Mus musculus: one gene and its partners. The protein of the gene in region 3 binds, or shares a complex with, the protein of the main gene of each other region. Links are inferred from orthologs where the notes say so. Each region holds a gene or a part of one and is shown on either strand. Other genes may lie near its edges. The genes, in order: Eid3, Nsmce2 and Smc5.

Region 1 (3,361 bases), on a different chromosome or scaffold from region 3:
GATGCCTTCTCCCCCAGTGTGGTGGGAGGCAGAGGCAGGTGCAGGCAGGTCACTGTGAGTTCCAGGCCAGCCAGGGTTCCATGAGGAGACCCTGTCTCAAAACCAAGCCAGGATGCCTTCCCTATTGTCTAACTTGGACCTGCCTTTCAAGACTTAGTGGCTTCAGTCTTACAGTACACACACACACTTTTATTAAATTCATTTATCAAAAACAAAGTTCAGAATACAGAGATCCACTTTTTGAAAGGAAGCCCGTCACCTGGACTTGAGAGTCTGAACACTACTGACTTTTCTTGTCTTGTTCTCACTCTTGCCCCGACCTGGTGAAAAGCCCCCTTGCCCTTAGTTTTGCAGCGTCAGAAAAAGCAATTCAGTATCCCAGTGAGTCCTGGTTTTTGTGTTTAGCAAGTTGGCTAATTAATACTTTCTAAGAAACTCGGGAGCTTACTGAGAGTGTCATGTGAATTTCAAAAAAACTTTCCCATAAGCATGAGAGTGAACTTTTAAGATTACAACCTTATTAGATTATCAAGTAAAATACACTGCACAGTAGACAATTTCATTTGTTCTTGAAAATAGTTTACTAGAGTTTGTGCTTCTGTTTAGATTCCATTTTTCGATGTTAGTTCAAGATATACTATGAATAAAACTCTTTAATATGAGTTTTTGATCATAGCCTCTGAAATTTCAAAAGTGGAGACAATATTTTTCCAGTCCTGTAAACTCAAAGATATAACGCCTTGTTTCCTGCAGTACGAATAGGAATCACTTTCATCATCCACCTGGCTCACATTAGTTGGCTCTAGAATTGGCAGCCTGTCTTGGTCAAGCCTTATTCTTGCAAAGCCATCCCTAATAATAAAAGACACATAGAAGATATTCTCCACAGTGCGAGAGAATGAGTTTGGATCAATCACAAACTCAAAGTATGACACTGGAGTATCGGGGTACTTTTGAAAGTAGGTTTGCAGCAATCCCAAGATTCTCTCAACTTCTTTTTCTGTCGTCTCCTGATTAGCATGCACATCCAGCCTCCTCAACTTTGTAGGCATATCTCCACTTCCTTCCATTTTGCAAGCTCTTTTGTGACATCCAAGCCGGGGCTTTCGTGCAGAACGTTCTGCCTTAAATGACCCAAAAATGAAGTGGAACGTTTCGGCTTGCAGCATCCAGGAGGTTGCTTCCTCGTGCAACATGCCCCAAAAGGAAAGAACTATGCTATCATCGCAGTCGCTAAATTCCTTACACTCCTCTTCTACCCAATTGAAGCCCACAAACAACAGCAGCAAATCGCAGAAGGCAATGGGATTAAAAAAGTTCATATCGGTGTTTAGCTGCTTCGCCTTCTCTTTACCCAGATCAGAGGCCAAAACCAGGAACTGGGCATCAAGGGCTGCCTCTCTGGTTCTGCTCACTCCGTCAAACAGCACGTTGGCTTCCTCCAGGGCCTCACTCAGCGTGTCGCTGGCCGTGTTCACAATGTCCTCGCGGTTCTGCTGCACGGTGTAGATGAGCTGCCGGTACTGCCTGCGGATTTTGCGGCACTTCTCTCGATCCACCACCAGCTCCAGGAGGTCTGGGTGCATGCAGGGGGGCTCGGGGTTCGGGTCATCGGAGCTACTGTCTGAGCCTTCCTCCTCCTCATCTTCCCCTTCCTCCTTTTCTTCCTTCTTCACTGCCTCTTCCTCCTCCTGTTTCACCAGGTGCTGCCATGCCAGACTCCGGACCAGCTCCCCTCTTTTCTCTTTGCCTCCAGTAAGGGAACATTTTTCTTTAGACATGGTGGTGGTGCGCAGGTAACAGCTCTCCCAGGGCTACTACCATACTACCTACCAACCGTAGCGACGCGAGATGGCAAAGGTAAGCCGTTGGAACAGAGCCTCCTGCCCATGCGCAAGCAACCCCGCCCCCCAGCTCACAGAGACCACACCTCCAGCCCAGGCTCCCGTTGTTCTTTTTCTGCTTAGAGGGAAGTACATGCTAATTCACAGCATGAAGGATGCTTCTTGCCCCCCACCCCCACCATCCCTTACACTCTTAGGAGTGTCTCCACTCAAGGGTGGAAGAACAGTGGGCAGGCAGGATTTTGCAAGGGAAGCCTGCCAAAGGCTAAATGCTTTTATACACTACAGAGGAGGTTAACCTGAATCCTATAAGATGAGCAAACTAAGAAGATTTTTAGTATCATCTCGCACCATCTGTGTTATCACCTACTGGGTGAATAATATGCTTTGGGAACCACACACCAGCTCACCAGTGACCCATGGCGCAATTAAGTGGCTGGAGTTATCAGTGCACAGCGATTTAACAATGTGAGGAGTGTTTTGTTTCTAAGTTCAACAAGCGCATCATACCCAACTCTCACCACAGAAAGCTTGGGGGGGGGGGGGGGGCACGGGACTCTGTCAGTGACAGAGTTCAGCACCCCATGGGGTAGCTCACAGCCACTGCCTGTAACTCCAGTTCCAACACTTCCTTCTAGCCTCCACTGGCAATCATGTGTGCATGCACATACTTTTAAAAATAAACCTTCAAAAAGACGAACCACTCAACGTGAGTGAAAGAATCAACTCCGCAAACTTGTCCTCTGAATTCCATACATGGACCATGGTACTCATGTCTACACATATGCTGTCTTTTAAACTTGACATACAGACCAGGGTACTCATGCCTAAACATACATCATACATATATCACAATACTAATTTTTAATTTTTTAAAATGGGCTGAAGGGGCTGGAGACAAGGTTTAGATGTTAAGAGCACTTACAGGCTCACAACTTTAACTCCACCTCAAGGAATCCAATCTAAAAATGGGCTGGAAGAAAAGCCTGTGTCCCAGTCTTTATCTACTTATATTAACTTAGACGGGTGCTAAATCTGCAAGCCACCACTGTCCCTCATTTATAAGATGGGAATTATAACATATAGAATAAAAATTATATAATCAGTGGTTTTAACTACCGAGTACATACTTACTATGTTCTTTTATATACAAAGCAATGATTTTTTTCATTGTTTTAGGTTTTAGGAAAAGAAAAATATTTTTAGGTTGAGGATGTACATACAGGCCTCTGTACTCAACACGCACATATCCACATTTAAATGTACACATCTTTAAATGAAAAAAAAAAATGCTTCTGTAATTTCCATATACTTGAGTTTCCTCATTTGCAAAATCGGTCTCCTGCGTATTCCACTCTATCTTAAAAACTATTACTGATCTTTTTTCTTTTTTTTTTTTTTTTTTTGGTTTTTCGAGATAGGGTTTCTTGTGTAGTCCTGGCTGTCCTGGAACTCACTCTGTAGACCAGGCTGGCCTCCAAAGCAGAAATTCACCTGCCTCTGCCTCCCAAGTGCTG
Region 2 (4,180 bases), on a different chromosome or scaffold from region 3:
CAGGCGTGGTGGCGCACGCCTTTAATCCCAGCACTCGGGAGGCAGAGGCAGGCAGATTTCTGAGTTCGAGGCTAGCCTAGTCTACAGAGTGAGTTCCAGGACAGCCAGGACTACACAGAGAAATCCTGTCTTTGGAAAAAAAAAAAAAAGTAAAAAGTAAAAAGACCTTGATTGCTATTTCACTGAGGAAGCATAAACCACCACGGAAGGGCATCCCTCCCCGCCCAGCAGCCTCGGTTCCTATGTTCTCCTTTCTTTTCAGGTTGAATGAACTAACCACGTCCACTGAGACCACCTCCATTCCACATCAGATCTCCTTTCCTTCTCTCTGTATTCCTCCCTGCTCTCCTGCTCTCCTCAATCAGCAGCTTTCTCCTCGCCCACACCACACCACTCTCCATAGCAAACCAAGGACATCTTTCTCTAATCTTAAAGAAAAGCATCTCCCCCACCTTCCTCTTCCATGACTTCCCATGCTTCTGCCTTCATCCTGGCAGCAAAACTCTCCCATAGGCGTGCCTCCATTTGTTTCAAAGTCCTGTCCTCCAGTCCTGGCCTGGGAGTCTGCCAGGCTCCCACCTCTCCCACTTCACGGGACCTGCTCTCAAGGCCACTACTGCAATCTGTATGCCTTCCTCAGGTGTACTGGCTAGTTTTTTGTCAACTTGACACAGCTGGAGTTATCACAAAGAAAGGAGCTTCAGTTGAGGAAATGCCTCCATGGGATCCAACAGTAAGGCATTTTCTCAATTAGTGATCAAGGGGGAAAGGCCTCTTGTGGGTGGGACCATCTCTGGGCTGGAAGTCTTGGTTCTATAAGAGAGCAGGGTGAGAAAGCCAGGGGAAGCCAGCCAGTAAGGAACATCCCTCCATGGCCTCTGCATCAGCTCCTGCTTCCTGACCTGCTTGAGTTCCAGTCCTGACTTCCTTGGTGATGAACAGCAGTATGGAAGTGTAAGCCAAATAAACCTCCCCAACTTGTTTCTTGGTCATGATGTTTGTGCAGGAATAGAAACCACGACTAAGACATCAGGGAACAATATTTCCGTTTGCACTCCTTTGGGCTCTTAGCTCTTTCCATCTCTTCCAAGAGCTGTCTAGAGCCCCAATCCACAACTGCTAGTCCTCCCCATACCTTCCCCAACACATACTCTTCACTTCCCCGCCTCCTCCAGTCTCATCTGTCTGCTAAGGTCTAAATGTTTGGGTCCCCATCCCCACTTTACATACTGAAATCCTAATGTCCAAACTGGTGGTTTTAGAAGATAAGGCCTTTGGCGAGGTGACTAGCTACACCCTCCAGAACATTATTAGTCCCTTATAACGGGTGCTCCAAGGGCTCTCTTGCTTTTCTACCACCCAAGAAAACAGCAAGTGCATGCCATTTACAAGCCAGAAAGCATGCCTTCACCAGACACTGAATCTGATGGTAAGTTGGCCTCGGGAATTCTCAGCCTCTACGACATCAGTTTCTGATGCTTTTGAAACTACATAGATATAGTATTTCATTTATTGACATCTGAACATTCTAACACTATTCCTTGGGGATTGGTTTAACCTAGGGTTTGGAGGTTTAACACCTCCCCCAGGGAACTTCTAACATCACGTGGGGGCATTTTTGACTGTGGCACTGGAGGGGGGTTGGGGGGTGTCACAGACCAGCATCTATGGAATTGATAGAATTCTAGCAAGTACAGTACAGTCTCTCACCACAAGGAATCATCTGAAGACAAAGCGTAATCATCACATTAGTTAAGAAACACTGATTTACACCAACCCCTTCTTGGATCCTCTTTCCAATAACACCGATCTTTTTGTTACCAGTACCTATAGCCTCCAAGACAATCTACAACAAAGTTAAGCACTTCCTGAAGTCTCACCAAGTTATTGGGCTCAGCACACTATTTTGCTTCCCTTATATTCATGAAAGAGTTGCTGTCAAGTTAAGCCAGTTTTAAATAGGAAAACACGTTTCTGCACAGCATTACAGTAGGCATAGAGCAAACCAAAAGTTCGACCGCCTTTAAATCCAAGGTGATCTCATACGACAAGAGTTGAAGTGTCTCCGTTTTCAGCATGCATACACCCTTCTCTCTGAAACCTTCCCTCGCCCACGGCTCCTCCTCTTCCACACGCCTTCTCAGTTCCTAACACACATCTCTACTATATAACTTAATACGGCTAATTGCCGACTTCTACCATTCCTTCATGCTGGGATCTCCTTAAACTGGAACATGCATTAGAAGATATAAAACGTCGCCTCACAAAAATGAAATGAGCAGGACTAAATCCGTTAAGTTACCAAAGTAATAATAAAAACTACTACCATTTCCGGGTCACCACCAACATGCCCGTGCCCAAGAAGGTTGCCTCCCGCCCCGCTTCCCCCCTCTTTTTTCACACCGAGGCTACCACATCCCTTCACCTGCAGAAGTGAAATGGCACCTGTGGCCTTGAGTCCATCTGAGCTACCTGTTCATGCCTCAGTTTCAAAAGTCAGTTCTAAACAGTTTGTTTTGTTTTGATCACATAACCTGTGATCATATGTGAGCATAACCCGCCTCCGTCTAGTTGCTGCGGGTGAAGAGGCTCAGGCCCAGGTCCCCAGAGCACAGAGGGAGGCGACAACGCCGGCTAGACCCCTATCACGGTTCCTCCTGGATCTTACCTGGCTGTCCCACCTAGCTCGGTGATATCTAGCCGAACGTCGCACGCCCAGACCCCGACTCCTTTCCTCAGCCCACTTCTGTGGCTGAAACGACCCGCGCGCGCTCTGCGTCATCACTTGGCGCCCGCGAGCGATCACATGATGCCCGGGCCCGGGCCGCCGCCCCTTGGTCACGTGACGGGCTAGGGACTCCAGGACAGAAACCCGGGTCCCGGCAGCTGACGCTCTGCGGCCCGGGACTCTAGGGGGATCCCTGGGGTGGGAGACGGGGACCGGGGCGCCCAGTCCACGCGGCCAGCGTCGGACGGCTGACAGGTGAGTCGGAGGCGGGCCTGCGGGTTCGAGGTCCATTCCTTCCCCCGTGGGCCACGTCCGGTACTGTCCCCGGAGCCAACGGGAAAACCTAGGGCTTGCAGGGTTGGGGTTGCACGCCTGATGTTCACCCACGCCTTCATGGAAATCGCTCTTGCATGCTTCTTTGAAGCTTTTGGGGTGATGCTCAGCTACTTGGCCCATAGCTGAGCTTGCAAGTTTCTCGGAGCGGTGCCTTGCTAATGTGGCTGATCTTGCACTTACTCTCCAGAAAATCAAGTAGTCACTGGAGTGATGATGGGCGAGAGCGCGCGGGGGGGTGGGGGGGGGGGTGGGGGGGGGAATAAAAGTCCTGTCGCTCACTGTGAGTTTGTGCAAGTCGTTCCTCTATACCCTAGTCTCCCTCACCTGAGACATGGTGCTGTAGTCCTTGTATTGGGGGCAGGTAGTTCTACTGGGTCCTGATTCTTCTATGATAGGAAATTTAAAAGTTGGACTCATAAAAAAAGAAAAGAAAAGTTGGACTCTTGATTTCTATATAGATGAGGGATAGTGAAGGAGTTTTATTATCTCTAACCACAGCCAGGGACTCTTTCCTTAGGTCTGCTGTTCTCACTTGTGGGTTTCATGACCCCTTTAGCAAACCTGTTTCCATAAACGTTTACATTATGATTCTTAACAGTAGCAAAATTATAGTTACTAAGTATCAATGAAAATGATTTTATGGTTGGGGTCACCACAACATGTATTAAAAGGTCAGGAAGGAAAGTTGTCTTAGATGTTAAGAATTAATGAATCAGGACTTGAGAGATGGGCCCAGTGGCTAAGACTGTTTGTTTTTCCTGAGGCCCCGGGTTCAATTCTAAGTACCCATGTGGTGACTCTCAACTATCTATAACTCCAGATCCAGGGGATCCAACACCCTCAGACATCCATGCAGGCAAAACACCAATGGACACAAAATAAATATAATTTTAAAAATTCATGAGTCACATTGGGGTGATCCAGCTTATTCCAGAACTTTTCTGGGACAGCCTCTGTTATGGATTTGAGACTGCTTTCTTTAGGGATCTGAGGTTTTGTGAAAAGAAGAAAAAATCCATCTGCTTTTGTCCTCTACACTTTAATTTTCTAAAGATATTTTGTTCTGTACTTACTGGGTAACAGATGCCATTCTTGAAAACACGTTCCTTTGACAAG
Region 3 (3,650 bases):
CCAGCAATCTGTATTTAGGAACCACTGCACTCCAGGGCCTCCTGTAAGATTCCTACCAGTCCAAAAGGAAATGTGGTTTCTTTAAAATTAAAACTGCATGGCCGATAAAAACTACTACAGCACAACCCATTCTAATTGTACAGAATTAGAGACTACAACCCAAGAGACCAATGAGGAGGGACTGAACTCATGACTTGACAAAGGATATAGAAAAATCCAAGCTAGTCTTTGCAAATTAACTACTTCAACCTCTTTATCATCTAAATCAAAGTTTGATGTCCGGACGACTGTTAAAGGTCACAAGGCTAACTTATCAACAGAGCAAAGCATCTTTTCTAGCCCACAAATATCTCTGGTATAGCTTGCTTTTAAAAAATATTTATTTAATTTTAGGGTATACTGGTTCAATTCTGTAGCATTATATTACAATGCTTATATACAGCTCTAATTCTGCAGTGCTCTCAGCAGTTCACTTTAAGCTGTACCAAAATACTTTTTATTTAAGCTTTTAAAATTATATTTATCTGCAACAGAACATATGTCATGTCCCGTGTGTGTATCAGCTGTCTCCTCCCAACCAGTGGGCTTCAGGGATGGAACTCAGTTGCCTGCTTGCTAGCAAGCACTTTTACCCACTGAACTATCTCACTTTCCCTCATACTTTGCACTACTGCAGAGTAGCAAAATCTGGTTCCCAGCACCCACAATGAATGGATGGCTCACAACTGTAACTCTAGCTCCAGCTATGGATAGGACACCCTTTTCCAGTCTCCACAGACACACAAGCTCTTTAAAAAACCAACCCACCCCCCAAACAACAACAACAACAACAACGACAACAAAAGGCAGTACTTTTTACTACATCATTTTGTTTACTGTTAATGGACAGACATTCAACCAAGTTTCATCTAACCAGGTATCTAACAACCCTGACAGATTTCCCTATTAAGGCATCAGGATTATTTGAAAATTCTTTTTTAGTGAAGAAACTTTCTCTGTCTGTGATTGCTGTTATCAGTTCTTTGTTTTAGAGCAATATTAGAAGTAACCAGAACTTTCTCCCGAGACTATCAGTGCCCGTCTAGAAGTTTTAGGTAAAAGAAAGCTCATTTGGTATACGTAAGAACCTAAAATACAGAAATTAACTTGTTTCTAGAAACAAATGGTTCTGAATTTTCTTTAAAATTATGTAATTTAAATAAACCAGGCATGGTGGTACATAACTTTAATCCCAGCATTCGGGAGGCAGAGGCAGGCAGATCTCTAAGCTCGAGACCAGCCTGGTCTACAGATGTAGTTCCAGGGCAGTCACAGTCAGAGCCGCTTCAAAGAGAAACCCTGTCTTGAAATTCCAAAAAGCAAAGAGGAAACTCTGTTAACTGACCTTATCTGCACGTCCCATGAAAGCAGGTTTGCCTGCGAGTCCGAGGCAAATGGCACACACGATGCTTGACTTCCCTGTTCCATTGGCTCCAATGATCATGTTCAGATGGGGCCCAGGAGACACTTCACAGATGTCATATGTTCTGAATTGTAAAGGAGCAATATCATTAAGCAGAAGTAAGAGAAAACCCTTTTCTTTGTAAATGAATCTTCTTGTTACTTTGCATTATCAGTGTCCACAACCCTTTTATAATTCATTTAAAAGCCAGCTACCATTATGAATGTAAGGTTATTCATATATTTAGGAGCACGAGGACTGAAGAGCCATGCCAGGGTCTTTCCTATGCTAGGTAGGTGCTTTATCACCTAACTCTATACTCAACCCTGTAAACTTGAAATAATCAACTTCTAGAGGGAAAACTCTTACAATGGAAAAGTAACAATGCAGATGTAAAATAAGACCACAGGAGCTCAGCATGGTGGCACAAGGCTTTAATTCTAGCATTCAGGAGGCAGGGCTTTAAAAACCTGGTTAAAATAAACCTGTGAGTTTGGGGCCAGTCAGGGCTACATAGTGAGAGATTCTGTCAAGCGACAACCCAAGTTTGAAACCATTTAGCTTCTTTTGGGAGACTATATCAAAGCTATTGCACTTATTTTTACCTCTATTTTTGTAAAACAATTTTAAAACAAATTGGTACAAGAAGTCATGGCTTCTTTCCTAATGTCTTACATTTACTATTTTTCTTGAATTAAAACAGTAGCTACTTCTCATATTTTAATATTTAAAGCAATCTAACAATTATTCAAATGACAAAATAATCATTAAATCAATAGCTTCATTTTATCATCAATTAAAATTTTTTTTCAAAAAGGGCCTTGACAAGAATCCACGACAGACTAGTTCTGATAATCCCCGTTTCTCTAGGAGAAGGCAAGGATGCATAAGCAGAGAGAGCTGTAACCCTTGTACACACCATGGCATCCTCCCTGCACAGTTAGTCCATAGCTACAGGAATTAAATAATTTATATTCAGGCCCTATAAGTTTTATATATCTGCTTCTAAATCTGCTGCTTCTGTGAGCTCTTAATTTAAGTGATTTTTTTAATTCTACATATTTTTTAAGATTAATTTTAGTTTTTTTATTTACTTATTTATGTTTTTCGAGACAAGGTTTCTGTGTAGCCCTGGCTATCCTGGAAACTTACTCTGTAGACCAGGCTGGCCTTGGATGCAGAGATCCGCCCACCTCTGCCTCATAAGGACAAGGACTAACGGAGCAAGATGTCTGTCTTTATTACTTATTTTTAATCTGTATTTAATTCTCATTACTTATCAAGGCAGCTTTGGCAAGATATGAAGTAAGCTATAACCTAGACATTTCTCTAGCTTGCCTTTCAAAATCCTTAATTAGAATCCATAAATATCCCTTCTCTAGGTTTTTAGTGCTTAGGTATACCTAACTAATCTCTAAGTATAAATGCCAGAGTGCTACTAATATGCTAAATATATAAATAATTTAACAAAGCATACCAACTTTAACATTTAAAACGTTAAAAAGCCAGGTGGCAACAAAAATATGCATGTGACAAAGAACTACATGGATACACATGGAAATCTAGTATCACTTGTTAAAAAAAGAGGTGGTGCTGGAGAGATGAGTCCACTGATGAGAGCTTTATCCTCTTCCAGAGGCTTCAAGTTTGGTTCCCAGAACCAACATAGTACAGCTAACAACCACTTGTAACTGGAGCCCCAAGCCATATGATGTCCACTCCTGGTTTTATATATGTGTGTGCATGCATGTGTGTGTACACCTGTACACACACACACCTTAAAAGGCTTTGTAGCCGGGCGTGGTGGCGCACGCCTTTAGTCCCAGCACTCGGGAGGCAGAGGCAGGCGGATTTCTGAGTTCCAGGCCAGCCTGGTCTACAAAGTGAGCTCCAGGACAGCCAGGGCTATACAGAGAAACCCTGTCTCGGAAAACCAAAAAAAAAAAAAAAAAAAAAAAGGCTTTGTAACTCAGCCCTAGTTTCAACTTTTTCCTATCTCCTTTTTCTATCTCTACTCAGAACTCTAAATTCTATTATATATTTCTTCTAGTTTCCTGACTAATCTGTGCTTCCTTTAGCTTATAACTCTCCCTCTACTCTCAACCTATCTGACTTAATTTGCTCACAGCAACCTCCTGTCCTATCTCTAGTCCATCTGAATTCTCTAAGCTTAGCTAGCCCCCCTACTTGCTTGGGACTCACTTCTCTC

The links.
Region 1: Smc5 (region 3) and Eid3 share a complex: the UniProt entries of both Homo sapiens proteins name them as parts of the SMC5-SMC6 complex. The link is inferred for Mus musculus from reciprocal best matches to the Homo sapiens genes SMC5 and EID3.
Region 2: Smc5 (region 3) and Nsmce2 share a complex: the UniProt entries of both Homo sapiens proteins name them as parts of the SMC5-SMC6 complex. The link is inferred for Mus musculus from reciprocal best matches to the Homo sapiens genes SMC5 and NSMCE2.

Annotation. Positions count from the first base shown.
Region 1 is NC_000076.6:82,865,127-82,868,487, reverse strand, and holds Eid3 (EP300-interacting inhibitor of differentiation 3), read right to left. Parts: upstream 1,863-3,361; 5' UTR 1,782-1,862; coding exon 654-1,781; 3' UTR 558-653; downstream 1-557. UniProt on the Homo sapiens protein: Tissue-specific component of the SMC5-SMC6 complex, a complex involved in repair of DNA double-strand breaks by homologous recombination.
Region 2 is NC_000081.6:59,372,844-59,377,023, reverse strand, and holds the start of Nsmce2 (E3 SUMO-protein ligase NSE2), read right to left. Parts: upstream 2,827-4,180; 5' UTR 2,669-2,826; intron 1-2,668. UniProt on the Homo sapiens protein: E3 SUMO-protein ligase component of the SMC5-SMC6 complex, a complex involved in DNA double-strand break repair by homologous recombination. Is not be required for the stability of the complex.
Region 3 is NC_000085.6:23,267,343-23,270,992, forward strand, and holds part of Smc5 (structural maintenance of chromosomes protein 5), read right to left. Parts: intron 1,527-3,650; coding exon 1,385-1,526; intron 1-1,384. UniProt on the Homo sapiens protein: Core component of the SMC5-SMC6 complex, a complex involved in repair of DNA double-strand breaks by homologous recombination.